Linked DNA regions of Rattus norvegicus. The protein of the gene in region 1 interacts with the protein of each later gene in a pairwise test. Links are inferred from orthologs where the notes say so. Each region holds a gene or a part of one and is shown on either strand. Other genes may lie near its edges. The genes, in order: Disc1, Traf3ip1, Tubb5, Stx18, Tnks, Rbsn and Dmd.

Region 1 (3,500 bases):
CACCAAGGCTGTGTCCCCAGGACCTGCACTGACATGCTGTCAGACGTACAGTGGGGCCTGCTGCTCTGCCAGCAGAGGGCTGGTCTGACTGGGCATCCGCAGAGCAGCACTGACTTTCTTTTGATTTTTAAAGACAGGGTATTGTGTAGCTCAGGTTAGCTTGAACTCCCTAAGCTGGTGAGGATGACCTGGGTCTTCTGATCTTTCTGCCTTCATGTTCCAAGGACTCGTGTTATGGGAGTGTCCCACCTTGCCTGGCTTGGGATCATGAGTTTTCGTGCTGTGCCTTTGATAGGTGTACTCACAGATGTCCAGCATGTCCTCCGTGGGCAGCTCCTACAGATTCAATAACATACACTGTTTTCTCTTCTCTTCTCAGGCAATGGGCATGGCTCGCCGCCTGCAGTAGCCCCTCAGAGGCGGCGGCTGACACGGAGACCAGGCTACATGAGAAGCACAGCCAGTCCTGGGATCGGGTTCCTGTCTCCAGCAGTGGGCATGCCACGTCCGATCTCAGCGGGGCTGACAGGCCAGGAGTTCTACCCCTCACAGTCCAAGGCTAGACAGTGCAGCCTTGACCTCAGAAGCCACTGCCAAGACTCATTGGTGGGCAACCCTTTTCTCAAGGGCTCCCTTGGCCCTGCTGTGACCTCTGTGGGCCACCTGCACCCAGCCCAGGGCTCTATGAGAGAAAGGATGGTGCACTCTGGGGTTCATTCCGGGAATGACAGAAGACAATCCGAGAGGCTGACTGGGGACAGTGGTTGTCGGCAAGAATTTTTATCTTCAGACAGCTCTAAGTCTCTGGCTTCTAGCCTTGATGTAGCTTGGAGCAAGGGATCGAGGGGCCTGAAGACTGTGAGGCCTCTGGTATCACCGGCGTCGAATGGCCCCGTTGACATCCCATCCCTTCCTGGGTTCCAAGACACCTTTACTTCCAACTTCAGCTTCATCCGACTCTCCCTCGGTGCTGCTGGAGAACGCGGAGAAGCAGAAGGTTGCCTGCCATCCAGAGAGGCCGAACCCCTGCATCAGAGCCCCCAAGAGATGGCAGCTGAAGGATCCGGCTCAGACAGGCCCCACGGGGAGCCTCGGCATCTCTGGACCTTCAGTCTTCACGCTGCTCCGGGCTTGGTGGACTTGGCTCAGGGGACGAGGAGCAACAGGCAACCAGAATGTGGCATGGTCTCCTCCTCCGATGCTGGCTTCTCTTCCCAGGATGCATCCCCCGCTGGAGGGCGGAGCGACCAGGACGGAGGCTGGGCGGATGCCCATGGATGGCACGCTCTGCTCAGGGAATGGGAGCCTATGCTGCAGGACTACCTACTGAGCAACCGCAGGCAGCTGGAGGTGTGTGTCCTTCAGAAATCTGTCACCCCCAGCTCAGTGTTGGGTGGAAGCGGGGAATGGGCAGCTGATGGAGTGCTGGTCCCGGAAGCTGCAGTGGATTCTGGGACGGCTGACTGAAAAGATGTGGTAGCACATCTGTAGCCTCCACATCTGAACGCGCATGCTCTGTTCTCCGCTTTCAGGCTGTGTAGCTTAGGTGCGGGCATGCCCTCTCTGATGGGGCCCATGCTTCGCCACAACCTTTGACCTGCAGTGTGGTTTGTTCAGGTTAGGACACTGGGGACTGGCAAGATGGCTCGATGGGTAAAGGCACTTGCTGCCAAGCCTGACTACCTGAGTTTGATTCTCCAGAACCCAGAGGGTGGAAGCGGGGAGCCGACTTCTGTAAACAGATATCTCCCCTCCCTTCACAGTAAACAAATGTAATAAAGTAAGACACTGGGAGAGTAAGGGGGGAACAGCCAGCTCGGGTTTGGAAAGAGTGAGACGTTAGGAGGGGAGAAGTCTGATTGCACAGGCCCCATCCCCTCCTACTTTGCTTCATTGTCCCATGGGCTATGTGGTCCTCCTACTAGGAGACTGTATGTGTGTGCACATATGTGTATGTGTATGTGGTGTGTGTGTGTGTGTGTGTGTGTGTGTGTGTGTGTGTGGTGTGTCTGTGGTGTATGGTATATGTGTGTGTGTGTGTGGTGTGTGTATGTGGTGTATGGTATATGTGTGTGTGTGTGTGTGGTGTGTGGTGTATGGTGTATGCGATATGTATGTGTATATGTATGTGTGTGGTATGATCGGGTGGGTATGAATATGTGGTGAGTGTGTGGTTTGTGAGTGTATATGTGGCTTGTGTGTGAGTGTGTGTGTTGTGTGTGTTTTTTGGGGGGCTGAGGACAACCTTGGGTGTCGTCTTCACTTCTGCCATGGTGCTGGAGTGCACTGTTAGGCCAGTGGGTCTCAGGGACTCTCCTGTCCCCTCCTCCTGTGAGGTGAGATTACAGGCATGAGTCACTATGCCGTTTTCTGTGTGAGCTCTAGTGTCAAGTTCAGGTCCTTACACTTGCCAAGCAGGCGCTTTACTGACCATTCATCTCCTCAGCATCTGGTTTCAGTGTTTAGAAGCAAGACCTGGTCACAGCCCGTTAGGAAGTTGTTCTGGCAAGGAAGGTGTGGCTACCAGTGGCTCCCCACTCCCTTGTTCTCATCTTCCCCACTCCTGTGCTGGAATAGAACTAGGACTGTGTGCATGCTAGGCACACATCTCTGAGCTACATGTCCAGCCCAAGACAGCAGCTTCCCTGAGATGGAGGCTTCAAGCGGGGCCACGGTCCTTCCTGAGCTGGCCACTCTGGAGACTGTGGTCTGTGCCTGGCTCCTCTTGGCTCTTACTTCCCACGTTCACTCACCCTCACTGTGATGTTCTGAGGGTTAGAGCAGAGGCCATTCGGCCTGCAGTCTGTGTTCCCTCTCCCCACAAAGTGCTTCATGCTGTAATGGCAACACTGTGGAATCTGTAATGTTCTAAGTCTTTCTGGGGAGTTCATGCTTAAGTTGTGTTTCTTTGTGCAAATGACTTTTCTTTTCTTCCTTAAACACGCATTTGGCATTGGCACACATTGCTTGCTTGCTTGTGCGTGCGTGTGTGTGTGTGTGTGTGTGTGTGTGTGTTTGAAAAATAGTTTAAATAGAACTTCACTTTTAAATTAGTTTCCCTATATAAAAACAGTATTGCTTCTCAGGAACTTAACTTTTTTTTAATTTTATTTTTTTTATTTGTCTGTGTGTATGTGTGCATTGTGGTTCTTGTGTAGAGGTCAGAGAACACCTTGTGGGGGTTTTGTGGGTTCTGGGGACCAAGCCCAAGCTCTCGGACTTGTCTGCATGAGCCTTCACCCTCGAGCCATCCCATCCGGACAGCCCACCTTTGAAAATAGTTCTTAGACGCTCGTAGGTTTCACAAAATGAACTTGCTTGAATTAGTTTGTAATTTCTGTTTTATGTTTCCCCTTCACACCAACACAGGTCACTTCCTTGATTTTAAAGCTTCAGAAACTTCAAGAAAAAGCGGTCGAGGATGGCGATTACGACATGGGTGAGTTCGGAAGCTCTTCATAGACAGTTTTCATCTTTCTCCCTGACCTCTGTCCGGACCT
Region 2 (3,500 bases), on another chromosome or scaffold:
AAAGTGCTTGCCATGCAGACGTGCAGACCTGGGTGGTATCCCCCAGCACCCATGTGAAAAGCTGGCTGACGTGTATACTGGTGATCCCAGAGCTGGAGAGGTACTCGTTGACCAGGTAGCCTAGGGAAATGGGTGAGCTTTAGGGCCCAGAGACGTTGTCTCAAAACACTGAATAGATGGTGTCCTGAGGTGAATCTCTGACCTTCACATGAACAGGCACATGTATGTGTGCGCGTGTGAGTGTGTGCAATAATCCCACCTTTACAGCCACATGTATATGCATGCATATCCATCTATACACATATACATACAGAACATAAAGAAATGTGAAAAAAAGCAATATTACAACCAGATGTGGAGATGCATAGCTATAAGCCCAGCACTCAATGACTAAGGCAGGGGTACTGCTGCAAGTTCAGTGAGTGCCTAGCCAGTCAAGTCTGCAAGACCCTACTCAAAAAGCAAAAGTACATCAGGATCAGTGGCCAGGAATGGTGATGCACTAGCTCTCGGGAGCCATGAGAGTCATGAGTTTGAAGCCAGCCTAGGCCACACAGACCATGTCTCAGAAGCAAAAGCCTGAGCCAGATTGTTTATAGTTAATGCTATCCCATTTGTTCCATTGAAAGATTGGATGAGTAGATTTGGTTGTAAACAATGAAAGTTCATAAAGGTTATTGTCTTAGTTAGGGTTTTACTGCTGTGAACAGACACCATGACCAAGGCAAGTCTTATAAAGGACAACATTTAATTGGGTCTGGCTTACAGGTTCAGAGGTTCAGTCCATTATCATCAAAGTGGGAACATGGCAGCATCCAGGCAGGCATGGTGCAGGAGGAGCTGAGAGTTCTACATCTTCATCTGAAGGAAACTAGAAACAGATTGGCATTCTTTTTTTTTTTTTTTTTTTTTTTTGGTTCTTTTTTTCGGAGCTGGGGACCGAACCCAGGGCCTTGCGCTTCCTAGGTAAGCGCTCTACCACTGAGCTAAATCCCCAGCCCCCAGATTGGCATTCTTAGACAACTAGGAGGAGGGTCTCCAAGCCCACCCCCACAGTGACACACTTCCCTCAACAAGGCCACACCTTCTAATAGTGCCACTCCCTGGGTCAAGCATATGCAAACTATGACAGTTATGAAAAGTCAGAAATTCTGAATTTGTCATACATCTAGAAATAGTTTTTCATATAAAAAGGCACCATTCTGGGTGAACATTGAATATACTGAGCCTATTGACTATATTGAATATATGAACTCCTCAAAGTATTTAAAATCAAAATTTTATTTTAAAACATCTTGTTTTTTGAAAATCTCACACATTTATGCAGTGTATTTGATCATATCTGTTCACCACTGCCTCCCTCCAGCTCTTCTGGTGTTCCCTACACTGTCTCCCTCCTGAGTTCTTGGCTTCCTTTTTAAGAACAAAGCAAAACTAAACTGTGTGTGTGTGTGTCCGTGTGTATGTTACTGTGTGAGTGCGGTTTGTGGAGTCCAGAATAGGACGTCAGGGCCTCTAGAGCTGGAGGTACAGGTGCTTATGAGCCACCCGATGTGGTGTTGGGAACTGAAACTCACGTCCTCTGTACGAGCACTGTACAATGTTAATTACAGTCAGAGCCATTTATCCAGCTGCAAGTATTTACTTTAATGTTTGTCTTTTCCATGGAAATATTTCAGGATAAAGATGCAAAGATTAGCTTCTTACAGAAGGCCATAGATGTGGTCATGATGGTGTCAGGAGAACCCTTGGCAGCAAAACCAGCTAGAATTGTGGCCGGGCACGAACCTGAAAGAACCAATGAGCTGCTTCAGTTGATTGGCAAGTGCTGCCTCAGCAAGGTAGGTGGGTGCCTGCCTTCCTGGTAGGCAGCTTGTCCTGGACTGGCAGAGCTGGTGTGGAATGCTTCCCTAGTTCCTGCATGTGAAGCCTGTGAAGCAGGGGTGTGAGCAGGAAGGCCAGTGCTGAGAGCTGCTCTGTCCCCTGGGTGGCTGTGAGGGATGCCGGAGCCAGAATCTGCTCTTGCTGGGGCTTGAGGTAGTTTTCTGTTGTGGAGATCCAGGTAACAGTTATCTCAGTTGGCACAAGTTTTGTAGTTTGAATACGTTAGTGATGTGTGGCCATCACTGTGATCTACCCTTCATTTGCAAGACTCACTCTCTGTACTCATTACCTCCCCCTCTTCCCACCCTAGTAACAACCTTTCCCTCTCTGCTGCTGTAAGTCTGACTGACAGTCCATGTATGAGGCAGTATGTCACTAACATGGTGTCCTCAGAGTTCATTCACAGTGTGCCATGGGTCAATTTTCTCCCCACTTGGTTAGCAATACTTTGCTGTGTCTGTAGACCACATTGTTTTTCTGTTCGTCTGTTAAGGGACATCTGTGTTGCTTCCACATTCTGGCTGTCATAAATCATGCCACTCAGAGCCCGAGTGCCACTGTCCCTTTAGACCAGCTTTTAGTTCTTTTGGGGTAAACCCAGGAGTGCTGTGGTCATGCTGATTATTGTGTGTGTGATATTGGGAGGAGCACCACACTGTTTTCTGGAGCACGGCACACTCTGCATCCCCAGTGGTTCCCAGGCTCCACTGCTCCCTATTATACCTGCAATTTTAGCATTTCTTTTGTAATAGCTGTCCTAAGTGATGTGTGCTCATTAGACCTGGGATTCTGTTTGATGACCTATGTAGTGCAATGTGGGTTACTAGAGCCACACACATGTCCACACTGACATTTGGATAGAGAGGAGACAGGATCTTAGTAATGGATCTCAAGCATTGTGCTTTGTCACTAACATTTTTGCTTACTAGTTTATCTCCAAATGTCCTTCATGGTAGGAAGAAATCTATTTAATGAGCTGTCCTTTAGTGCTCCATTCTCAGTGCCTGTACTCACTAACATCATCTTCCTTGCCTGGCCAACCAGCTCTCCAGTGATGAGGCTGTGAAGAGAGTCTTAGCTGGGGAGAAGGGGGACTCGAGAGGTCGAGTCCTGAGGACGTCGAAAGCACAAGAGCCCGACAACAAGAGTGTGAAGGAGGAAGAGTCCAGAACACAGAAAGAGGTGAGCTGTAGGACGCCGCATGTCTTTGACACAGCAAGTCTGTAAACTAAAGTCAAATATTAAAAATGACTGTCATGTCCATATGCTTTTCTTCAGGAGAAACGAAGCTCTGAGGTGAAGGAGAGAAGCTCAAGTGCAGAGCACAAACAGAAGGAGGAACTAAAGGAAGACAGCAAGCCTCGGGAGAAGGAGAGAGACAAGGAGAAGGCAAAGGAGGCTGACAGAGACCGACACAGAGAACCCGACAGGGACAGAAACAGAGACGGAGAGCGAGAGAAAGCCAGAGCACGGGCCAAGCAGGACAGGGACAGAAACAACAAAGATCGGGACAGAGAGACTGAAAGGGACAGAGATAGGGACAGGAGGAGTGACGGTGGGAAAGAAAAAGAGAGGCAGAAGGACCGAGACCGTGACAAGGGAAAAGACCGGGAACG
Region 3 (4,141 bases), on another chromosome or scaffold:
GGCCCGGTACTGCTGGCTTCCACGGCTGGTGAGAGGGGCAAAGCCAGGCATAAAGAAGTGGAGACGCGGGAAGGGCACCATGTTGACAGCCAGCTTCCGAAGGTCGGCGTTCAGCTGGCCCGGGAAACGGAGGCAGGTGGTGACACCGCTCATGGTGGCAGAGACGAGATGGTTCAGGTCTCCGTAGGTTGGCGTGGTGAGCTTAAGGGTACGGAAGCAGATGTCGTAGAGGGCCTCGTTGTCAATGCAGTAGGTCTCATCTGTGTTCTCTACCAACTGGTGGACGGACAGGGTGGCGTTGTAGGGCTCAACCACGGTGTCAGACACTTTGGGTGAGGGCACCACGCTAAAGGTGTTCATGATGCGGTCGGGGTATTCTTCTCGAATCTTGCTGATGAGCAGGGTGCCCATGCCAGAGCCCGTGCCTCCACCCAGCGAATGGGTCAGCTGAAAGCCTTGCAGGCAGTCACAGCTCTCCGCCTCCTTCCGCACCACATCCAAGACAGAGTCAACCAGCTCAGCTCCCTCTGTGTAGTGACCCTTAGCCCAGTTGTTGCCTGCCCCAGACTGACCTGGAATGTAATAAGGGGGAAAAATTTAAAAAGCCTAATCACATATGAGAGAAACACAATACTTCTTAATCTTTCAACGTTTGAAATAATCCCACTGGGGGACACATGGGAATCCGTTCCACATAACTCACCAAAAACAAAGTTGTCCGGTCTGAAGATCTGGCCAAAAGGACCTGAGCGAACGGAGTCCATAGTCCCGGGTTCTAGATCCACTAAGATAGCTCGAGGGACATACTTGCCACCTACAAGTATTCAAGATGTTCGATCAGCGATGAAATAGCTCAAATTTGGGGTGGAGAAATCAGCCACATATCACTAAAGTTGTCATTCCAGGCACTACCACCTGGTGGCAGTAGAGCCAACCTTCAGCCCCATAAGGTGTGTGTGTAAGGGGGGAAAAATGGGAGTCTCACAGAGGGGTAACTGATACCCAAGTGTGGGAAAACAGGGTGGTGATGCTGCCTTTAAACCCAACACTTGGAAGGTAGACCGATCTATGTGAGTTCCAGGGCGGCCAGTGATGAATGGGGTCCCTGTCTCAATAGGGGGGCACGCAGAAGAATCGGGATTTCTTCCCTCACCTGTAGCTTCATTGTAGTACACAGAGATTCGGTCCAGCTGCAAGTCGCTGTCTCCGTGGTAGGTGCCGGTGGGGTCGATGCCGTGTTCATCGCTTATCACCTCCCAGAACTGCATAAGGAAGAGAGCAGTGAGGCCTCAATGGCTCAAGTCCTAAGGGATGCCGCCCGCCCCTCATTTCGATTCCAGACATGCTCAAACGAAGCTGTGGTGCAGACACTGCAATTCCGTTATCTGCTTGCGGAACCCTCTACCGAGGAGCCTACGCCCCGGAAGGTTACAACCTTAGTGGATAGGACGGATGACTGGCGATTCAAAGGGCCGGGGACTGTAAGCATCTACATGGGCGGATTGGCGCCCACCTTCTTGGCTCAGCACCTAGGTTTGGTTCCTGAAGCCAGGCACCGCCCTTCCTGGCCAGCACAAAAGAGGGTTGGGGGAGAAAGGTGCGGCCACTGCAGTCGCCCACCCCTTACGCGCTCCACGTGACTGCGGTGGCGGGCCGCTCCTCCAGCAAACCACAAAGGCGGGAGCAGTGCGGGCGGGGCCTAGCTCGAGGGGCGGGGCCAGTGCGCCCCCGCGGGCCCGGGCCGCATTGTCCCTGCGCGCCAGGGGCTCCAGCCCCGCCCCCAAGAGGGTCCCACCCTTCGGCTGCAATGTAGCGGCCGCACTTCCTCCCTCCCCCTCCCCCGCTACAGGGCAATTGCCCGCAAACGGGGGGAAAATTTTTAAAAACCCCATGGCCTCCGATCTTTATTCCCTTCCTTCTTTCTCTCTCCTTAATCTCCCCGACAGTCTCTCACATACTTGAAAAGCTCACACTTTCTGTCCGCTCACACCCTAAGACCTCTTTTAAGGGCAATGAAAAGTAAAAGTAGTGCCCTACATAGAATCATAATCTAAAAAAAGCCTTGGGAAGGCGGGTTCTATGGAGTATCCAAGCCTTTGTTGAGGTAATGCGCACCGGGGCATCTCTGCAGCTGCCCGCCAAACCTCGCCCCTTCCCCCTCCATTCTGTTCCAGTAGGGCCCTCCAGGCGGGGTGGGGGTGGCGCAAGGGGAAAACCTCGCCTCGGCTTTGTCTCGGATCGTTTCCGCATCCCTCCTGTCCTCGGACCGTTAGAAAACCCCTTTTAATACCAGTTCTTTAGAGTCCCCCAGCCTCTCCTTTTCCCCGAACTCAAAAGCGTCTCTTAATAGCTTTCCGAAGATGTGCCAAGAAAAACATTTTCTCAATATTAGAACGCTAGCTACAAATATGGGTTATATTTATACGTACAAAACTTTGAGGGGCCAAATCTGACGAGCGGAGAATGCAAACGCCCCGTTAGCATTGCTCACGATTAACACAGATATCTCATCCTTACATATTTCATCTAAAATTATAAAATTCTTACCTTAGCACCGATCTGGTTGCCACACTGTCCGGCCTGGATGTGCACGATTTCCCTCATGGCTACGGTTTACTGTAATAATCTTTTTTTGATGGTCCCAATGTAGGTACCGAGCAAAAGAAGATAATTAAGGATTTTTGGTTTTTTTCTTCTGGGCTGGTCTCAGACTGATAGGATGGAACGTAGCCCCGGAGGCTGCTGCAGAGAGATGCGAGCACGACCGCAGGAAGGTTCTAAGAGGCAGAAGAGGCCGGCGAGCGCAGGAGGGAAGGCGCGCAGGGCGGGGCGCGCGTTCGCGCGGCCGGGGGCGGGAGATGGGCGGGCGCCTCGGGTTGCAGACAAAGCCTACCCAACCAGTCGCTGATTAGACCAGCGGATCACGTGCCAGACGGCCATTGGTCTCTGAGCCAGTGGCGAGCGCAGTCCTTTTTGGGAGTTGTAGTTCTCTATTGTCCACGCTGCAAAAAGAAGTTAAAGATGGGTGGGTACTGTGGGAGGATTAGGGGGTATCGCGTGTGTGTGTGTGTGTGTGTGTGTGTGTGTGTGTGTGTGTGTGTGTGTGTGTGTGTGTGTGTGTGTGTGTGTGTGTGTGTGATTTTATTTTATTTTTCATGAAAAATGACCTCTCGATTCCTAGCCTCTATTCCTGAGAGAGGATTTTGTACGAAAAGAGGTTTGGGGAAATATAGTAATTAGATGAGATCTGAGGTGCCTGAGTTGGAAGGTGGGTTGGGCACGCCCTGCCAGCTGCCCACCGCAGAAGGTCTGGGAAGGCCAGACTGCACAGCTCAGCGGAAAATCCTGAGAACTGTGTGCTCCTTCCCTGATACACAGTGTCTAGTTCTTTGTGATCCCAAGACAGGAATGAAAGAATTGCCCTTCTGTTTCCATGGGAGGTGTCTCAGGGGTTTTCAAAAGAGAAACAAAATTGCAAGGATCATGGAGAATCTGCATGGAGCTGATGTCCCAAAAGAATGGAGGTGTGTGTAAAATCTCTGGGAGATTCGGGCCTTTAGACACTGAAGACATCCTGGTCATCTTGTCAGTATAGACTGGAGTGGACAGACTAAGAGAATGCTAGTCTTTATATAGTGCCTCCATCTCAGACACTTGCAAGGGCTTTTGTTTGTTTCTTTTTGTTTTGTTTTGTTTTGTTGGTTTTTTTGTTGTGTTTTGTTTTCCAGTTAGTTGATTTTATTCATTAGGTGAGTCTGTGGCAATGTCCTGGAACTGAGAGGGAAGATGGGAATTGAATGGGCCCAAGTCAGAGCTCGTAAGCTTTTCTTTCCAGGGTTTTGAAAAATACTAAGTATCCTCAAACCTTTAAGGAGATACAAAATGATTCATTAGAATAAGAGCAGGAGTGGTTCACACGGTTAATCCCAGAATCCTGACTAGAAGGCAAGAGAAGTTCAAGGTCAGCTTGGGCTACCTAGAGACTACCTGGACAACCTGAGGCACAGCTTTAGGTTTAATCTCTAAGTGAACAAATAGAAAGGAAAAATTAGATTGTGCCTGCCCTACCTCCCAAACAATAGAGAGGTGGAGGCAGAAAGATACTTGCACTTTGGAGGCTAACCTGATCGACAAAACAAGA
Region 4 (4,300 bases), on another chromosome or scaffold:
AAGTCTGGCTTAATGGAAAACAGCTGCCCTGCATTTAGCCTATTGTTAGATCAGTGTCTCTGGGAAACCCAGCCACACAGCTGATCAGAACACACAGATGTAAAGGCCAATATGAGCCTGGAATTATTACAAAACTCGCTTTTCATCTCCATGACAGCTAAAAACCCAATTTTAGCACACATCATAGTGTGCTTCCTTTTATAAGGAAAACAAAATCCAGAAAAGTTGATACTGAAATAAGACTAAACCATGGGGGTCACACTCCTGGACAAGAAAACTCCAGGCAACTATGGCTGCTGAGAGAGGAAGAGTTAGCCTATCCCTCTAATTGGTTGTCCAATACGAAATGATAATCCCTGAAATCATACACACATAAACAGTTTCAGCAGATTGTGCTTGCATAGCCATGGATACTTACATATATATGCAACAATTACAATTAAGGAAGAAGAGGCTATAAATTTGAGACTGAGTTGGGAGACATGGAAGAAATCAGAGGGAGAGGATTGGAGGCTGGAGAGAGAAAAGGGAAGGAGAGAAAGTGGCATAATTGTATTTTTAATTAAAGGTGTACACAAAATAAAATAAACCATGAACAAAGCGTCCAGAAAAATTTTATTAGCTGACTTTAGTCAAGTTAAGTAACTCTCTTCTTTTCAATTTCCTCCTTTCTCTATAATAACTATGACTCAAGAGAGCGCTTTTCAAAACTACTTATTTAGGAGGAACATAACACAGTTATCATCAAGCTCAGTATGCTTCACTTTTCTCTGGCTCTCATAACTTCCTGCTCTCCATATCCCCCCGCTCAGGGATCTCTGCTCTAAGCCTCTTCTACACCATAAGTAAAAAAGACTGAGGACAATAATATTATCATCAACTGCAGCATTTACGGGCTGCGTAGTAAGAGTTAAACAACATGAGAATGCGCATTCTGTTTAATTTTCTGTGCATTCTAGGAAGGTGCTAGCTTCACTTTACCGAACTGGCTGAAGGTTTAAGAAGAGAGCCCTCTGGACTCTACCTCTATACACTTACCCTTTCCTAGTACAAGCACCCAGACGGTCATAGTTCATTGCTTCTTAAGTGGATCCCTAGACGACATAGGTCAAAGGTGTTAACACTCCCCACCTGTCAACCAAACCTCACGCCTGTCTTCTAAAGAATCATACGTGAGCGATCTTTCTAGTTTCCTGATGCTTCCGTTCCTGAAGCCCAGTTTTAGAAACCCTGTGAAACTTCCAAGCGTCTGACCCCGCTGAAGTTTGCAGTGAGGAGAAAGAGGTGCTGATGCACTGCGGGTAGCTGTCTGGAACGGAGATTCCCTGCGCTGGGCCGAGGCCGGAACCTTTCTCTACTCGACGCAGTACACGGGCTGAGAGCGGAACCTTCCTTTTCTGCTCACAGTTCCCAGGCGGAAGCGAAATCGGAACGTCCCTCAGCGACCGAGCTCTTGCTGGGGTCGCTTGCTGCTGACGTGTGCCGACCGGCTTCGGGCCGCGGCGCGGGTCGCTATGGCGGTGGACATCACACTGCTCTTCAGGGCTAGCGTCAAGACAGTGAAGACGCGGAATAAGGCTCTTGGAGTGGCCGTGGGTGGTGGAGCCGATGGCAGCCGAGACGAGCTGTTCCGCAGAAGCCCTCGGCCCAAGGGAGACTTCTCCAGCCGGGCCCGTGAAGTGGTAAGCTGGTTGCTATGGGAACGACTGGTGGGAGTCAGGGGCGGATCTGCAACCGCGGACCCTGCACCCCTAACTGGGCCCTGCCTCGTTAGCTCTTGGTGAAGTGAGGGAGTCTCTAGCAAGACAGAAGAGTCGGTCTCACGAAGCCAACAGCTGGCTCGGGGTGGCGACAGGTTTATTCTCACGAAGAGGGACGCATATCTGGGCACTGAAGGAAGCAAGTTTTGAAGAGGCTCTTGGATGTCCTTGAACTCAGGCTAACTTTTAGAGGCAGTGAGTTCGCCGTGGCTGCTGATTTGAGTGCCTTGGAAGAGTTCCCACAGTCTTACGCTTCCTGTATTAAAACTCACCACTCTCTCCGCTTGCCCTTTCATGTGTGTGTTTGGACCTCCTCTTGTGCATAGGGTTTAATAAAAATCTACGCTCAGCAGAACTCTCCTTTGTCCTTGCCTCCAGGAATAGGTAGAACTCAGTACCTCCAGAAACTGGTTTAGGATATCACCAGTGTAGGGTAAAAGCTTTTTCCTTCAGAACTGCAACACTTAAGCAACACCTAGTGTTGTAACTGTCCTCTAAACTGCTTTCTGTTCTCTGGACACAACCGGCTTTTGTGTCCCCCAACATAGGAACCTTCTCCATAAGGGTAGGAACATGTTGACATTATTTCTATATGTGTGACTGAAAACATTGCTTAGTAAATATTCCTTGGATGGATGGATGGATGGATGGATGGATGGATAAACAAATGAATAGATATTGTTTCCACTAAACAGGGAAAAGGAGATTGTTTGCAAAAGGAGATTGTTTGCAAAAGGAGATTGTTTGCATTATATCCCTTTGTATCTTTGACACTAAGGGTAAATGTTATTTTTGTTGCACCAGGAGGCATATACAGTCTGTTCTTTTAAAGACACACACACACACACACACACACACACACACACACACACACACACAGAGTGGTCCAAAGCATTGAAAGGTACAAGTCAAGGGAACCTAAACTTTAAGTATAATTAGTTTTCCAGTAAGCTCACCTCTGCTTGGCACATAATCCATTGCTTGATACTTCTCTTTTTGAGACAGGGTCTTTCCATGTAGACCAGGCTAGCCTTGAACTCACAGAAAGGTGACTGTTTCTGTCTCCCAAGTGCTGAGATTAAAGGCATGGGCCCCATACCAGATGACACTTGAATATTGTTTTATATATATATATATATATGCACAAGTTAATGAATGACTGTTTAATACTCAAGGTATGGAAGGTATGGACCAGATAAATGATGCCCCTCCCTCCAACAATAAGCATCTACTTAGAACTGAACTTGTGACCATCATTGTTTTAGAGTAACAGGATTCTATTCTTGAGTTACAAAGTTTCAGTGCTAGAGAGATACAAATATAAACAAACCCCCTGCCTTGATTCCTGCGGGTATTCTGTAGGGCACAAGGGAAACAGTAGTTAGTTCCGCTTGGGAGAAAGGCTTCATGGGACAATGATATCAAATATCCATTCTAAAATAAGAGTAGTTGGTTTCATTACAGATAAGGTCAGGAAGGGCATCACAACTAAGTTAACAACAGCATACTGGCCATACTCCTGGATGCCCTCACACCCAGGAATACAGGGACAGTGCAATTAGGCTTGATGGGCTTTTAAAGAAAAAAGTCTGGGGGGGGGCATGAAGTTAGGGGAGGTAAAGAGGTGGGAGTGGATTTGAGAGGAGTTAGAGGGGAATGGTGGTAAATATCAGAACACATACGGAATTCCCAATGAATTAAGAAAATACTTTTTTTTTTTTTAAAAAAAGAAACCAACGTGCACAAAGGCATGAGATAGTACCAGCTTAACTTAAGTTGGGTTTGATTAACGTAAGAATGTGAGACACTCAGAAAAAAAGAGTGGTATGGTACCCAGAGGGAAATCTAGAAGGACCTTGTAGATCACTCTTCAGAATTTGAACTTTGCCTTCTAGACCAGTGGTTCTCAATTTTCCAAATACTGTGACCCTTTAATACAGGTCCTCATGTTGTAGTGACCATGCCCCCAACGATCATAAGATTATTTTCATTGAGACTGCATAGATATAATTTTGCTACTACTATGAATTATAATGTAAATATCTAATATTCAGGATATTTAAATGTGACCCCTGTGACAGGATCATTCAACCCCACAAAAGGGGTCACAACACACAGGCTAAGAACCACTGCTCTAGACAGTCCAATATTATGTAGACAGTAAAACCCTGAAGAAGACCCAGGAGACCACATTGTTGTCTTAACCATGTTAGCTATTAGCCAGATTCATGCTATTAAGCAAGGTTTATTTACCTATAAAATGGTTCATCTTTATCCAAAACAGACTTTAAACATCCATTGGGTCTATCATATATGTCATATATAAAATGTCTTATCATACCATGTATTATGTTGAAAGAGGCATGACTCAGGTTGAAGTAAGAGGACAGGAAAATAAGGTGTCATCATAGCTCTCTTCTGAGTCTGGCCAAACTGTTACCACAGTGTGTGGACGTCACAGTTTTGGTGTGTGGAGGCTCTTCCCTGGGTGGTTTATTAATGCTGCACAGATTTTCAGTCCTTAGGAATAGGGGATTTCG
Region 5 (4,205 bases), on another chromosome or scaffold:
CTAGCTAGGTATGCATACTCCCAATGCCACTTAGACTCGCATGCCTCTCAAGGCACCCCAAGTTAGATTTAACTCTGAACAAGCAAAGCAAGCCTCTGTGGTCCGACAATACCCGCCCCTTCTCCCCAGCATAGCTGTAGACATTTTGTTCCATGCCTGCCAGCTATTTCATATTGTTGCTGTAACATGCCTACCAGCCTTTGACACAGAAAAATAGCTTCACTCAGAGCTATTTTTTTCAGACCCTGTTATGTTCTGTTATGTCCTGAGGTTTGTTAATCTTAAGACATTCCTCAAAGCTTTACGTAGGGCTCATCAAATTAAAGGTCAATATAAACTGTTATGTCAAAAAAAATGGCTTAAGTTAGAGCTGATCACCAGGCAGAACTTCCTGCACCTGCGTATGAGCTCATTGTGGTTTTTTCTTTTATAAGCTGACATAAAAAGATGTTGTAGTTCAGATGATTCTGAGCTATGTCCCTGGTCTGACCAGTATTAGGGTGTGCATTCAATAATCCGACTCTTAGACCCCAACACCGAGCTATTTGATAGCGTGTGTGTGTGTGTGTGTGTGTGTGTGTGTGTGTGTGTGTGTGTATTCCTTTCTCCAGTATTAAGACCACCTGACCTGAGAGACAGGACCAAAGTCTGGGATGACTGACTTCTTTGTTCCACTTTGCTGGCTGGGAGATAACAGGTAAAGCAGGTCTCTGAACTGTTAATCCCGTCCTCTAAGATTACAGGCGCACTGGATAGAGCAGCGCAAAAAGGCATCCTGTCTCCGCTCCTTGGCATTTGTGGCAAGAGTTAAATACCCTCTTAGAGAATAAGGTTATCCTTCCCTCCAGTCCTGTCTCTGAATGAGACCAAAGGAGATAGTAAGGTGTACAGATCCAACACTTCATTTAAAAATATTCCCAATGTGCTAATTTTAGTTATGTATTCTTCAGAGCGTTTTGTATGCATTAGCTCACTTCATCTCTGCAGACAATTTTGTGAGGTGGGTACTATTAATTCCATTTTCGGGCGAGGACATTTTGCTAAATGTTTGCACCAAGTTACATTCTAATAGCTTCTTCTGAAGTAAGACACCGCAGACTGACGGACACCTGGGAAAAGACTGAAGCAGTCCAAAGCAATCCCGCTTTGGAAGGAAGACAGAAGTTTCTCGGACAGGTAGTGGCTCGCCAAAACTTTCAAATCTGCCTTGCCAGCCCGCCAGGGCGTCACAAAGCCAGTCTCTCAACTACTAAGCCACGCCCCCAGGCTGGTTGTTCTCTAAGCTTCCAATACTTCCCTTCTTCTCTCCGACTCCACCCACTTCGGCAAGAATCATTTCCGGGTATGTTGACTTCTGATTGGTCCAGAATCCGGAAGTGAGGGCGGGCGGTGGCGCCGTTGCCGCAGTGACAGTACGGGGGAGTGGGAAGATGGCGGCGTCGCGTCGCTCTCAGCATCATCACCACCATCATCAGCAACAGCTCCAGCCCGCCCCAGGGGCTTCGGCTCCGCCACCGCCACCTCCCCCGCCGCTCAGCCCGGGCTTGGCCCCGGGACCTACCCCGGCCTCTCCCACGGCCGGCGGCCTGGCGCCCTTCGCCTCCCCGCGGCACGGCCTGGCGCTGCCGGAGGGGGATGGCAGCCGGGACCCGCCCGACAGGCCGCGATCTCCGGACCCGGTGGACGGCGCGGTCTGCACGGTGGCTGCTACGGCCGCGGCCCCGGCAGCTTCCGCCGCCGTCGGGGTCGCTCCCAGCCCAGCCGGCGGCGGCGGTAACAACTCCGCGTCGTCCACTTCTTCGCCTACTTCTTCTTCGTCTTCCTCTCCGTCCTCCCCTGGCTCGAGCATAGCGGAGAGTCCCGAAGCCGCCGGAGTTGGCTCCACAGCAACTTTGGGACCCGGGGCGGCGGGCCTTGGCCCGGGGGTCCCAGCCGTGAGTGGGGCCCTGCGGGAGCTGCTGGAGGCTTGTCGAAATGGGGACGTGTCCCGGGTGAAGAGGTTGGTGGACGCAGCGAACGTGAATGCAAAGGACATGGCCGGCCGAAAGTCTTCTCCCCTGCACTTCGCAGCAGGTCTGAGACCGTGTTTTACGGGTTTTGGAGCGGAGGGAGGGTGGTCGGACTAGGAAAAAAAAGTTACAGGTTGTAGTGGGACAAGTAGGGACTTGTTGGTGGTTCTTTTCCACCTCACCCTGAGAACTGAAGTTTAGTGTCCGTGTGTGTGGTGGGGGGGGTTGGAGGGGGGCGAGGTGTGAATTCACTCCTTGGCGTTTGCAACAGTGGTACTTCAACTTATGCAAACTCCGTGTAGCGCTCATCTGTGGATGTGGGCATACTTAAAACCTTTTCAGTTCGGAGTTGTGTCTGAGACAAGTTGGATTTGAGTAGCTTTAGGAATAGCTTTGTCGTTCGTGTGCTAGTTCGTTTTGTTTTTTACGACACGGTTTTGTCCTTTGAGTACGGACAGTCCGGGGCGAAAGAAGTGTAGGGTAACTCAACAAGTGTCCAAGAATCTCTCGTATTCTTAAGTAACACAACGAAAGACAATGGGGTTTGTCAAATTCCACCTTTTCTAAAGAAGTGGACAATCTGGAGAGACTACCCCCGGCCAGTCGGAGACAATAGTGATAAGGGTAGTGTGTGCCTATGATAAGGGACAGAGAGATCAGCTTTGAGGTCCAGTGTGTATTTACCTTGTCTCAGCTAGCTCATTTTCTTAGAGACAAAGATGATAGGTTGTTTGAGTGAGGATTTAGGAAGAAGTCTTCTGGCGGGGAAACTCAGCACATAGGCACAGATTTCTAAATGCTGAACTTTACTTTTCTTGCCTCTCTCCCTTCTGAGTAAGTAGTTGTTTTCTTTTAGAAACACAGAATATTTTTTATAAAATACAGAAATGTAGAACAAAAACAGAAGGGCCATACTCTCACTGCCTTGATACTTCTGGTTGATTTTTTTTTTAAATAAGGTTAATTAGGTTATGTACTTTAAAACAAGTACCTTTGAAGTTTGTACTTCACATATATTATAAATTCAAATAGGATAGAAAGATACAAAATTAAAAGACACACTTTTTAAAAAAGTATCAAAAATTCCTCTTTTAAATGTTAGTTTTCTTGAGTGTGTGTGTGTGTGTGTGTGTCTGTGTCTGTGTGTGTCTGTGTAGGTACAAGAGGGCAATTCCCTGGAGCTGGAGTTACAGGTAGTTGTGGGTCACCCAGCTTGGGTGCTCAGCTACTCTGGAAGAGTAAGCTCTGTTTAATTAACTTCAGAGCATCTCTGCAGCGCCCTTTCTGTCTTGAGATGCTGTCTGAGCACCAGAACTCTGTTTTTGCTGGGAAAGCACTTTACCCCTGGGCTACATACACCTCCAGCTCCTCTTGCTGTGCATTTCAGTGGTGTTACTCCTTCAGTTCTGTAAACGTAAGCTTAGAACTTAGGAGAACTGCGATTCTCGTTTTACAGATGATAAAGCGAGGCACACGTGAGTCTAGTTCTCAAGTAAAGTAGTGAGACATTGACGTTGAGTCAGCAGTTTGATTTAGAGCCTAAGCCATAATCTATAGGTGGGTTTGTATGCAGGGCACAGCTCCTAAGTTACTTGGTGTTTGGGGAAGAAGGTAGTAGTCTGGAGCTCATGGAGAAGGAAAGCTAGTGATTTTTATTTGTTTTTGTTTTTGTTTTTTTTTTAATTTCAGCCATTGCTTAGAGTTTGTAATGTTGCAGTGCAATCAGAACTTTGAGGAAATGGAAACTGCACCCTTCCTTGCTTGTGTGTTTGTATACTTTTCCACTTCACTTGTAGCAAATTGCGTCTGTGATCCATTAATGGACAGTGATCAGTGGTGTGAAACCCATTGGGAATGGTCAGATTACTGGGTCTGTGCTCCATATTAGGCAGAACTAGTGAGTGTGATGAATTCGCTTATAAGTAGGCTTTCAGCTACGTAGATGAAAAGTCAAGACTCTTGCTTGTTTTATATGAAATAGGATTTCTTTTTCTTGTCTGGCTTTTCTTTCTTTCCTAGTTCTCATTTTCTCTGTTTCTTGAGAGAAGTCTGGCCAGGCTCAAGGTTCTGCCTCAGCCTCCCAAGCCCTGGGATTTCAGCCATGCGCCACTACACAATTTCCTTTTCTTTAGGCTAAATGAAAGGTCTGAGTCTGATTTAATAAATCATCTGAGACCGTTTACTTTCCAAATCAAG
Region 6 (3,500 bases), on another chromosome or scaffold:
GATTAAAGTGCATACCACTATGCCTAGCTTCTTCTCTACTTTCAAACTGATAAAAATGGTCTGACATTTCTTTCGGTTATTCAATTTTGTGAACATACTAAACAACTTTCCCCCCATCCCCCCACAAAACTCAAACCATTGAATTAATATACTTAGAATGGCACTTTTTTTTTTTTAAGTTGAGACTGGAACTTATTATGTAGTCCTGATTGTCTAAGAACTCTCTTTGTAGACCAGACTTGAACTCAGAGATCTGCCTGACGATGCCTCTTCAAATGCTGGGGTTAAAACCATGCACCATCATGCCTGGCAGGATTACTTGGCCTTAAAATTATATGTTTAGGAGATTACCTGTCAGTAAAGCTGTCAACCAAAATACGTCATGTGCTGAACTAAAGTGTCTCATCTTACTTATTACTTAGCTGTGGAATGGTAAAAATCACTAATTTTGTTTGCTGGGATTGAATCTCAGTCAGCAGCCTGGTAAGAAAATTTATTAATTCATTTATTAGTTCATTCAATACTTATTGAGCATCTGTGTGCCTCATCCATGCTGAGTATGTACTCTGATACTGGAGTACATACCTAGCCCAATAAAGTACTTTCTATCCACAGAATGGATAAGTAATGCTTCTTTCAGAGTTCTTTACTTTTGTATTCAGAACCCTTGTGAGATAGCTTACTCTAACTGAGCACACACATGGCATGCACACACACAGACACATAGACACACACACACACACACACACACACACACACACACACACACACACACACACACTGACCAGGGTCACTGATTGCATCTTTATTAATACCACTGGGGAAGGTGGTATTTAATCTTAGAACTGTTCTATCCAGTTCAGTAGCCATATGTAGCTATTGAAATTTCATTAATGAATCAAACAAAATCTATACACACTTCAGTTGAGCAGTATCCCTCTGTGGTCAGTGGCTTCTCTGTGAGTATGCAAAAATATTTTTATCACTGTAGAAAATAGCTTTATAAATACTATTGTTACATGATTTTCTGGGACATATAAAAGAAATATCTGTTCACTTCAAATAAGGAGGGTGCAGACAGAGCAAAGAAAGTTCCCTCCAGTCCAGTTTGGTGAGATAAATGAGTTTATTGGGGGTTATTTACAGGAACATGGGTGACTTGAAGCTGCATCACCAAAAAGCCCCAACCCCCTGTCCACCAAGATACTGTTTTACTTTTAATGTTTAAAGATTATTTAGTGTTTAAATTGTGTGTGCGAGTGTGTGCACATATGTATGCCGTTTCCTGTGGGGTCCAGAAGAAGGCATCAGAAGTTACAGGTGCTGGGAGCTGAACTGGGGTCCTGCAAAAGCACTGTGTGTTCTCAACTCCTGGACCCTCTTTCCAGTTCCCAGCTCTGTTTTATCTGTCTTTAGTCTATAGCAAGTTTCTGCAGAGCTGGATTCAGAGCACTGTCTAGGGGTGAAGTGGTGGCGGCTGTAGGTTCAGGCGACATAAGGCGCAGACAGAACTGATAAAGTACCATGCTTATGTGTACCTGTCCTTGTTCCAATTGGGATTCTGCTGGTCTCAGCAAGCAGTGTCTAGCCAAGGAAGGATGGCCTATTCTGCAGCAGTCAGATGCACAGTGGCTTACTGCAAAATGGAGTTACTCTGGCCAGGATTCAGAGGTCTACTTCTACTGCAGATGTATATCAGCAATTATAAATCACATGTGAAAGCTGATTAGAAGCATAAAGGAGAAATTTCTGACAAGTGAATTTTAATACTTTGTGATGGCTTATTTTCTAATTGCCACAGTCCTAATTGCTAGTGTGGTTTTCTGATTAACCTGCCCAATTAAACAATGGAAAGAAGTGCAAATGGTGGATGATCAATTGGAAATTTTAGAAGTTATTTATAATTATCCCTAGGATTTCTAGACTAAAATTTAGATTCCAGTGCATGATTAGGAAAGACAGACATGGATGAGTAAGAGTACAGTGTGGAGATGGTCCAAAGAGGCTTCAAACAAGTACAGTATAGCTATGGTACAGCACGGTAACCACAGTGAAGAGATATTGTACTTAAGTTGCCAGGTGAGTAGGAGTGAAGTGTTCTTGCTACAAAAAAATGAGTGAGGTAATGTATGTTTTAATTACCTTCATTTAGCCATTCCATATCTATCTGGCTTTGTATCCCCAGATGCTTCAGATACACTGAGGTCAGATACTACTTGGTTCCATTTGTATTGGGAACATTTCTGCTAGGTCTTAGATGCTAAACTGAGGAAAGTATCCATTTAACTGAACTAAGGGCATACATTACCACTTACTGGTCCCCCACCCCATTTTGAGAAGGGCTTATTGTTGTTATTATTATCACTATTATTAATTATTTTGGTTTCTCAAAATTTTTCTGTGTAGTCCTGGCTGTTCTGGAATTCATTATGTAGATCAGGCTGCCATCAAACTCAGATCTGCCTGCCTCTGCCTCCCTCTCCCTGGGACTAAAGATGTGAACCGCTACCACCCATCCCCTACCCTCTGCTTTTGAAAAGGGATTGTTTTTATTTTGATAAAAAGCTACATTGTGTTAAGTCACAAAACTAGTCAAGCAACTTATCTAAAGTGACACAGTGTGTAGCATATTTAAAATTTGAGCTCAGGCTAACTCTAATAAGAGCTTACCTGCTATGCTTTGAGGTTTCTCATGTTGTACTTTGGGTCTCCAAGAGCTAGGGTTAACATCGTAATGAAATTCCTTTCATCTTCTTTCTAGTTATTAAATTTTGGTAGGGTTCTAAAATCCTGCTTTTTCTGTTTCTGTTTTGTTTTGTTTTTTACATGCTTTTAAAATTCATTGAGGATCTAGAGAGGCTCTATCAGAATCGTTAACTTACCACTTCTCTTCCTCTTTAGGTGCTATGAGAAGCCATCTTTCTGATTTTAAAAAACATCGTGCTGCAAGGATTGACCACTATGTTATTGAAGTCAATAAATTAATAATCAGGTTGGAAAAGGTAAGTTTTGTAGTTTTATTTTGTAAGTACATATGTGTTATGTAAGTGATGAGTATCTGACTCTGAGAGAACTGCAGAGGACATTGAAGACAGCTGGCCTAGCTGGTCTCCCTGAAGTGAATTGATCACGCTGAAAGACTTACTAAGTGCCCAGCTCCCCTTTTATGCCTATCACTCCCACTTGCTGCGGTACATCTTCTGGAGTTGTCCCGGGGAGTCACTCAGTGGGCACAGTGTGTAATGTCATCTGATAACAGCTCTGTGTATTGAGTTGTGGCTAGGGCTAGTGTGTGTTGTGGGGTCATCTAGTGTAGCCTTTCTTATCCTGTAGTGCTAGAGTATGTTTGCACGATTGGCTTACACTCTGACCCTAGATACACTTGATGTGCATCTGGATTGTGGGGCATTGGTAGGTATAGTCCTCTTTTTCACTTTTGTGGTGCCCCAGCAAGCACTCTGCCACCAACTAAGTCCCAGACCAGGAATGCTCTTTATGTA
Region 7 (3,500 bases), on another chromosome or scaffold:
ATTAAAACACCTGGGAGTTTGTACAACCCTTAATTTAGTGTTTTTAGAGCAGGCAAACTAAATGCATACTAAGTTTGATCTTTGACACTAGTAGATAGAAAAAATGAGTATTTAATAAAGGCTGTATGAATCAACGAGAAACTATTTTGATGGTGCAGAAAATAATATTGCTATTAAAGTAAGAATGACTTGCAATATGGCAGAAAAGTAATTTGTGCAACCCTTTATGGTTTTAGCACATATAGAGAGAGGTCAGACATGATACCCAAATTATAGATCTCTACAATGACATTGATTTCTAAAATGAGGAGGAATAGAAAGGAATGAATGTCGTAAGATAGAAAATAATGATGGATGATCAAAAGATGGAAGCAACACAGGTAGAAAAAAATAAAGATATTAGGCTTTATAAGAAAGTCTTTGGTATTTTGCAGTTGAAACATAATTGTCATAACAGGTACAGTTTGAAAACTACTTCTCATATTTTATTTGCTACCTTAAGAATATCTTCCTTTTGTTGTGGTTTCCGTTTTTCAGATTCATCTAAAAGTTCATCTGTGTGAATGATCCACTTGGTGATATGCTCTACATTCTGATCAAAGGATTCCATGTGTTTCTGGTATTCCTGAATTGTATGGAAATATATCTGGTTAGACAAAATTCCTAAAGCATTTTTCCACTGTCTACAAAGAAAACAATGAAATATTTAAATTACCTTTAAGTAACATCAGAAATAGAAAGTAATACTAAGTATTGAAAAATATCTTGGAATTATGAGACTCTATATCAGCATATATAGAGAGCAGTTGAATTTTCAAACACAAGTATCATTCCTAATTTATTATTTTCTTGTTTTTGTTTTGTTAGCTTGCTGAGAAGGAAGAGTGAAAAAGAAATGTTGTGTTTTAAAAGAAAATGGTCCCCACAGCCCCCACTATTGTAAGACATGGCTTTACTAGAGTAGGTTAGGCCATGTAGAAAATCTCATTGGGGGATGGGCTTTGAGGTCTCATTTGCCCAGGCTTTGCCCAATATGGAACACAATCTCCCATTCTACTGCCTGGATATCATGAAGTAGAACTCTCAGCACTCTGTCTGGCTGTATATTCCCATGTTTTCCACCATGATAATAATGAACTAAGTCACTAAAACTTTAAGTCAGCCATAATTAAATGTTTTCCTTTAAAAGAGTTGCTATAGTCATGGTGTCTCTTCACAACAATAAAACCTCAGCTAAGACAAAAAGCTTCCTGCCTCTACTCTTACCAACAAAAGATTTAGCCATTCTTCTACTCTGGAGGTGACAGCTATCCAGTTACTATTCAGAAGCGTCAGTTTATCTTCCACCAAAGTTTCTTTCTTGCCCAATACTGTTTTCAAGGAATCTCCTAGTTCCGTGACACTCTTCAAGTGAGCCTTCTGTTTCTCAATCTCTTTCTGAGTAGCCTGTAGGAAAAAATAGCATTAAGATTCAAGTAATGCACTTTATGTAGAATTGGGAAATTTTGTTATACAAATGTGATAGATATTTTAATCATAATTATATATGTTTAATAACTAAACCTAGAGATTTTTCAATTAATATTACATGTTTATTAATTTGATCATGTATTTGTTAAAGGCAGACAATTTAAGACTCATCTATAAAGCAATACCTGTAATTTGAAAATTAAACCACTACGCCTCGGTTATTTTTCTATAGCAACATATTTAGCCTTTTGGAGATATGAATATTTTTGACACCTCGTTAAACTGAATGAACTCCTCACATAATGATTTCTAAAGTATAAAATAAATGTACAAAAAAACTGACACGAAGAAGAAAAGTCATTTTAAAATGAAGTCTATGTCCCAATAACTGCAAGCAAAGTCAAAAAAGACAAAATCATAGATGAAGAACCGCACATCTTGGCAAGTTTCAAGTAGATTCAAATAAAACTTGTACAAGTACAGTCACAGAAGTATTCATGGATAGAAGATAAGAGTATATCTCTATCAGACAGTAGATTTCTTACTCCTAGATGTTATCAACAAATAAACACTTTCATCTATGGATTCTATATTTGTTCTTTTATTATCATTTTATTTTAAAATACAGATCCTGTAGTAACTCATGCCAAATGAATTTATTTACTATGAGCAAAATGATTATTTATAATGAAGGTTTTAATTTGTGGTACAAGAATGAGACAAGGATTGCTTAAAATCAATTTGTTCAGATATTATTCATGACTGTTTATTGCATTCCTCTATGGCACCAGATACTATTGTAAAATTGCCACAGATAACACTATTAACTCGTTTTTGGAATAAGAAAAGTACCAAGTTTGGGTAGACACAGCTTATTTAGAAATAAATAGATAAAAATTAAATTTAAACCCTCTAAACATCCTGTAAATTCTAGGGTAAAATAGATTCTCTATAAATATAGATGGTAATCATTGTTATAGGTACAAAAATAAAACAGTATTGCCTTTATACTCAAGACACTTAGTTTTCTCCCTCAAGCTGTAATTTATAAGCTCCTTTTTAATTTTAAAGTGAGGAAAACATAAGATTATATTCATTATATTCACTATGTTATATCTACATTTGTAGACATAAGGATAGCAAAATTGGGGCTGCATATGTTTCATTAAGTGATATTGTGGTATAGGAAAACATTTACCATGAGAAGAATTCTACTGAAATCATAATTGCAGCAAATGTTAACATTTTATGGGTAAAATATATGATCAGTTAGGTTCAAAAATACTAACCAATAAACTTGATGGTTTTCAGTAAATAAATGTACTATTTCCTAGTCACAAATATATTTTAAAGTTACTCTGATTTGTTAATCATGAAGGAATGGGTAAAACAGATGAATCTTTTCTTATGAAAATTTGCATTATAATCATCGAAATTGGGAAAATTCATTGAGATCAACTCTTCACAGGTAATAGTAAAAGTTAATTTAAGGCAAACTAAAGGTTATTTAATGGTGAGTTACACATGTAAGGTAAATTGTAGAGAAATTTTAATCCAGCAACCAGGGTGCTCTGGCAAAGAAAAACAACTAAAAACTTTCTAAGGCTATATTTTCTGGATGGAATGACATAGCCTCTGTTACATTATGATCTAGATGGAATAGAGACATAACCTTAGTACACGCCTTTAATTTCAAACAATGAAGTGAAGTTTAATTTGTAAAGAGATGCAGCCATCTTTAAAAGTGATATTTAATTGAGGGACAGACAAAGTAACAAATCAGAGAAATCTGTGACAGGATGAATCAGAAATAGGTTATGCCCTACTCTCACAAGCACAGACTAGAAAGAGAGGCAATTGAGACAGGAGTGCCACATGTTCTACTATGTTCATAGCAGCCTTATTTATAATAGCCAGAAAATGGAAAGAACCCAGATGCCCTTCAACAGAGGAATGGATACACAAAATGTGGTACATCTACACAATGAAATATTACTCAGCTATCAAAAACAATTACTTTATGAAATTCG

The links.
Region 2: the proteins of Disc1 (region 1) and Traf3ip1 interact in binary tests that used the Homo sapiens proteins (3 or more experiments, as listed by UniProt). The link is inferred for Rattus norvegicus from reciprocal best matches to the Homo sapiens genes DISC1 and TRAF3IP1.
Region 3: the proteins of Disc1 (region 1) and Tubb5 interact in a two-hybrid assay, tested with the Homo sapiens proteins (2 studies listed by BioGRID and IntAct). The link is inferred for Rattus norvegicus from reciprocal best matches to the Homo sapiens genes DISC1 and TUBB.
Region 4: the proteins of Disc1 (region 1) and Stx18 interact in a two-hybrid assay, tested with the Homo sapiens proteins (2 studies listed by BioGRID and IntAct). The link is inferred for Rattus norvegicus from reciprocal best matches to the Homo sapiens genes DISC1 and STX18.
Region 5: the proteins of Disc1 (region 1) and Tnks interact in binary tests that used the Homo sapiens proteins (3 or more experiments, as listed by UniProt). The link is inferred for Rattus norvegicus from reciprocal best matches to the Homo sapiens genes DISC1 and TNKS.
Region 6: the proteins of Disc1 (region 1) and Rbsn interact in a two-hybrid assay, tested with the Homo sapiens proteins (2 studies listed by BioGRID and IntAct). The link is inferred for Rattus norvegicus from reciprocal best matches to the Homo sapiens genes DISC1 and RBSN.
Region 7: the proteins of Disc1 (region 1) and Dmd interact in a two-hybrid assay, tested with the Homo sapiens proteins (2 studies listed by BioGRID and IntAct). The link is inferred for Rattus norvegicus from reciprocal best matches to the Homo sapiens genes DISC1 and DMD.

Annotation. Positions count from the first base shown.
Region 1 is NC_086037.1:69,946,476-69,949,975, forward strand, and holds part of Disc1 (disrupted in schizophrenia 1 homolog), read left to right. Parts: intron 1-379; coding exon 380-1,350; intron 1,351-3,369; coding exon 3,370-3,439; intron 3,440-3,500. UniProt on the Homo sapiens protein: Involved in the regulation of multiple aspects of embryonic and adult neurogenesis. Required for neural progenitor proliferation in the ventrical/subventrical zone during embryonic brain development and in the adult dentate gyrus of the hippocampus.
Region 2 is NC_086027.1:99,524,176-99,527,675, forward strand, and holds part of Traf3ip1 (TRAF3-interacting protein 1), read left to right. Parts: intron 1-1,679; coding exon 1,680-1,841; intron 1,842-2,928; coding exon 2,929-3,066; intron 3,067-3,162; coding exon 3,163-3,500.
Region 3 is NC_086038.1:2,916,236-2,920,376, reverse strand, and holds the start of Tubb5 (tubulin beta-5 chain), read right to left. Parts: upstream 2,801-4,141; 5' UTR 2,605-2,800; coding exon 2,548-2,604; intron 1,263-2,547; coding exon 1,154-1,262; intron 815-1,153; coding exon 704-814; intron 573-703; coding exon 1-572. UniProt on the Homo sapiens protein: Tubulin is the major constituent of microtubules, a cylinder consisting of laterally associated linear protofilaments composed of alpha- and beta-tubulin heterodimers.
Region 4 is NC_086032.1:76,970,927-76,975,226, reverse strand, and holds the start of Stx18 (syntaxin-18), read left to right. Parts: upstream 1-1,500; 5' UTR 1,501-1,514; coding exon 1,515-1,682; intron 1,683-4,300. UniProt on the Homo sapiens protein: Syntaxin that may be involved in targeting and fusion of Golgi-derived retrograde transport vesicles with the ER.
Region 5 is NC_086034.1:63,926,924-63,931,128, forward strand, and holds the start of Tnks (poly [ADP-ribose] polymerase tankyrase-1), read left to right. Parts: upstream 1-1,405; 5' UTR 1,406-1,430; coding exon 1,431-2,073; intron 2,074-4,205.
Region 6 is NC_086022.1:126,256,203-126,259,702, reverse strand, and holds part of Rbsn (rabenosyn-5), read left to right. Parts: intron 1-2,901; coding exon 2,902-3,002; intron 3,003-3,500. UniProt on the Homo sapiens protein: Rab4/Rab5 effector protein acting in early endocytic membrane fusion and membrane trafficking of recycling endosomes. Required for endosome fusion either homotypically or with clathrin coated vesicles.
Region 7 is NC_086039.1:52,112,086-52,115,585, reverse strand, and holds part of Dmd (dystrophin), read right to left. Parts: intron 1,447-3,500; coding exon 1,267-1,446; intron 626-1,266; coding exon 497-625; intron 1-496. UniProt on the Homo sapiens protein: Anchors the extracellular matrix to the cytoskeleton via F-actin. Ligand for dystroglycan.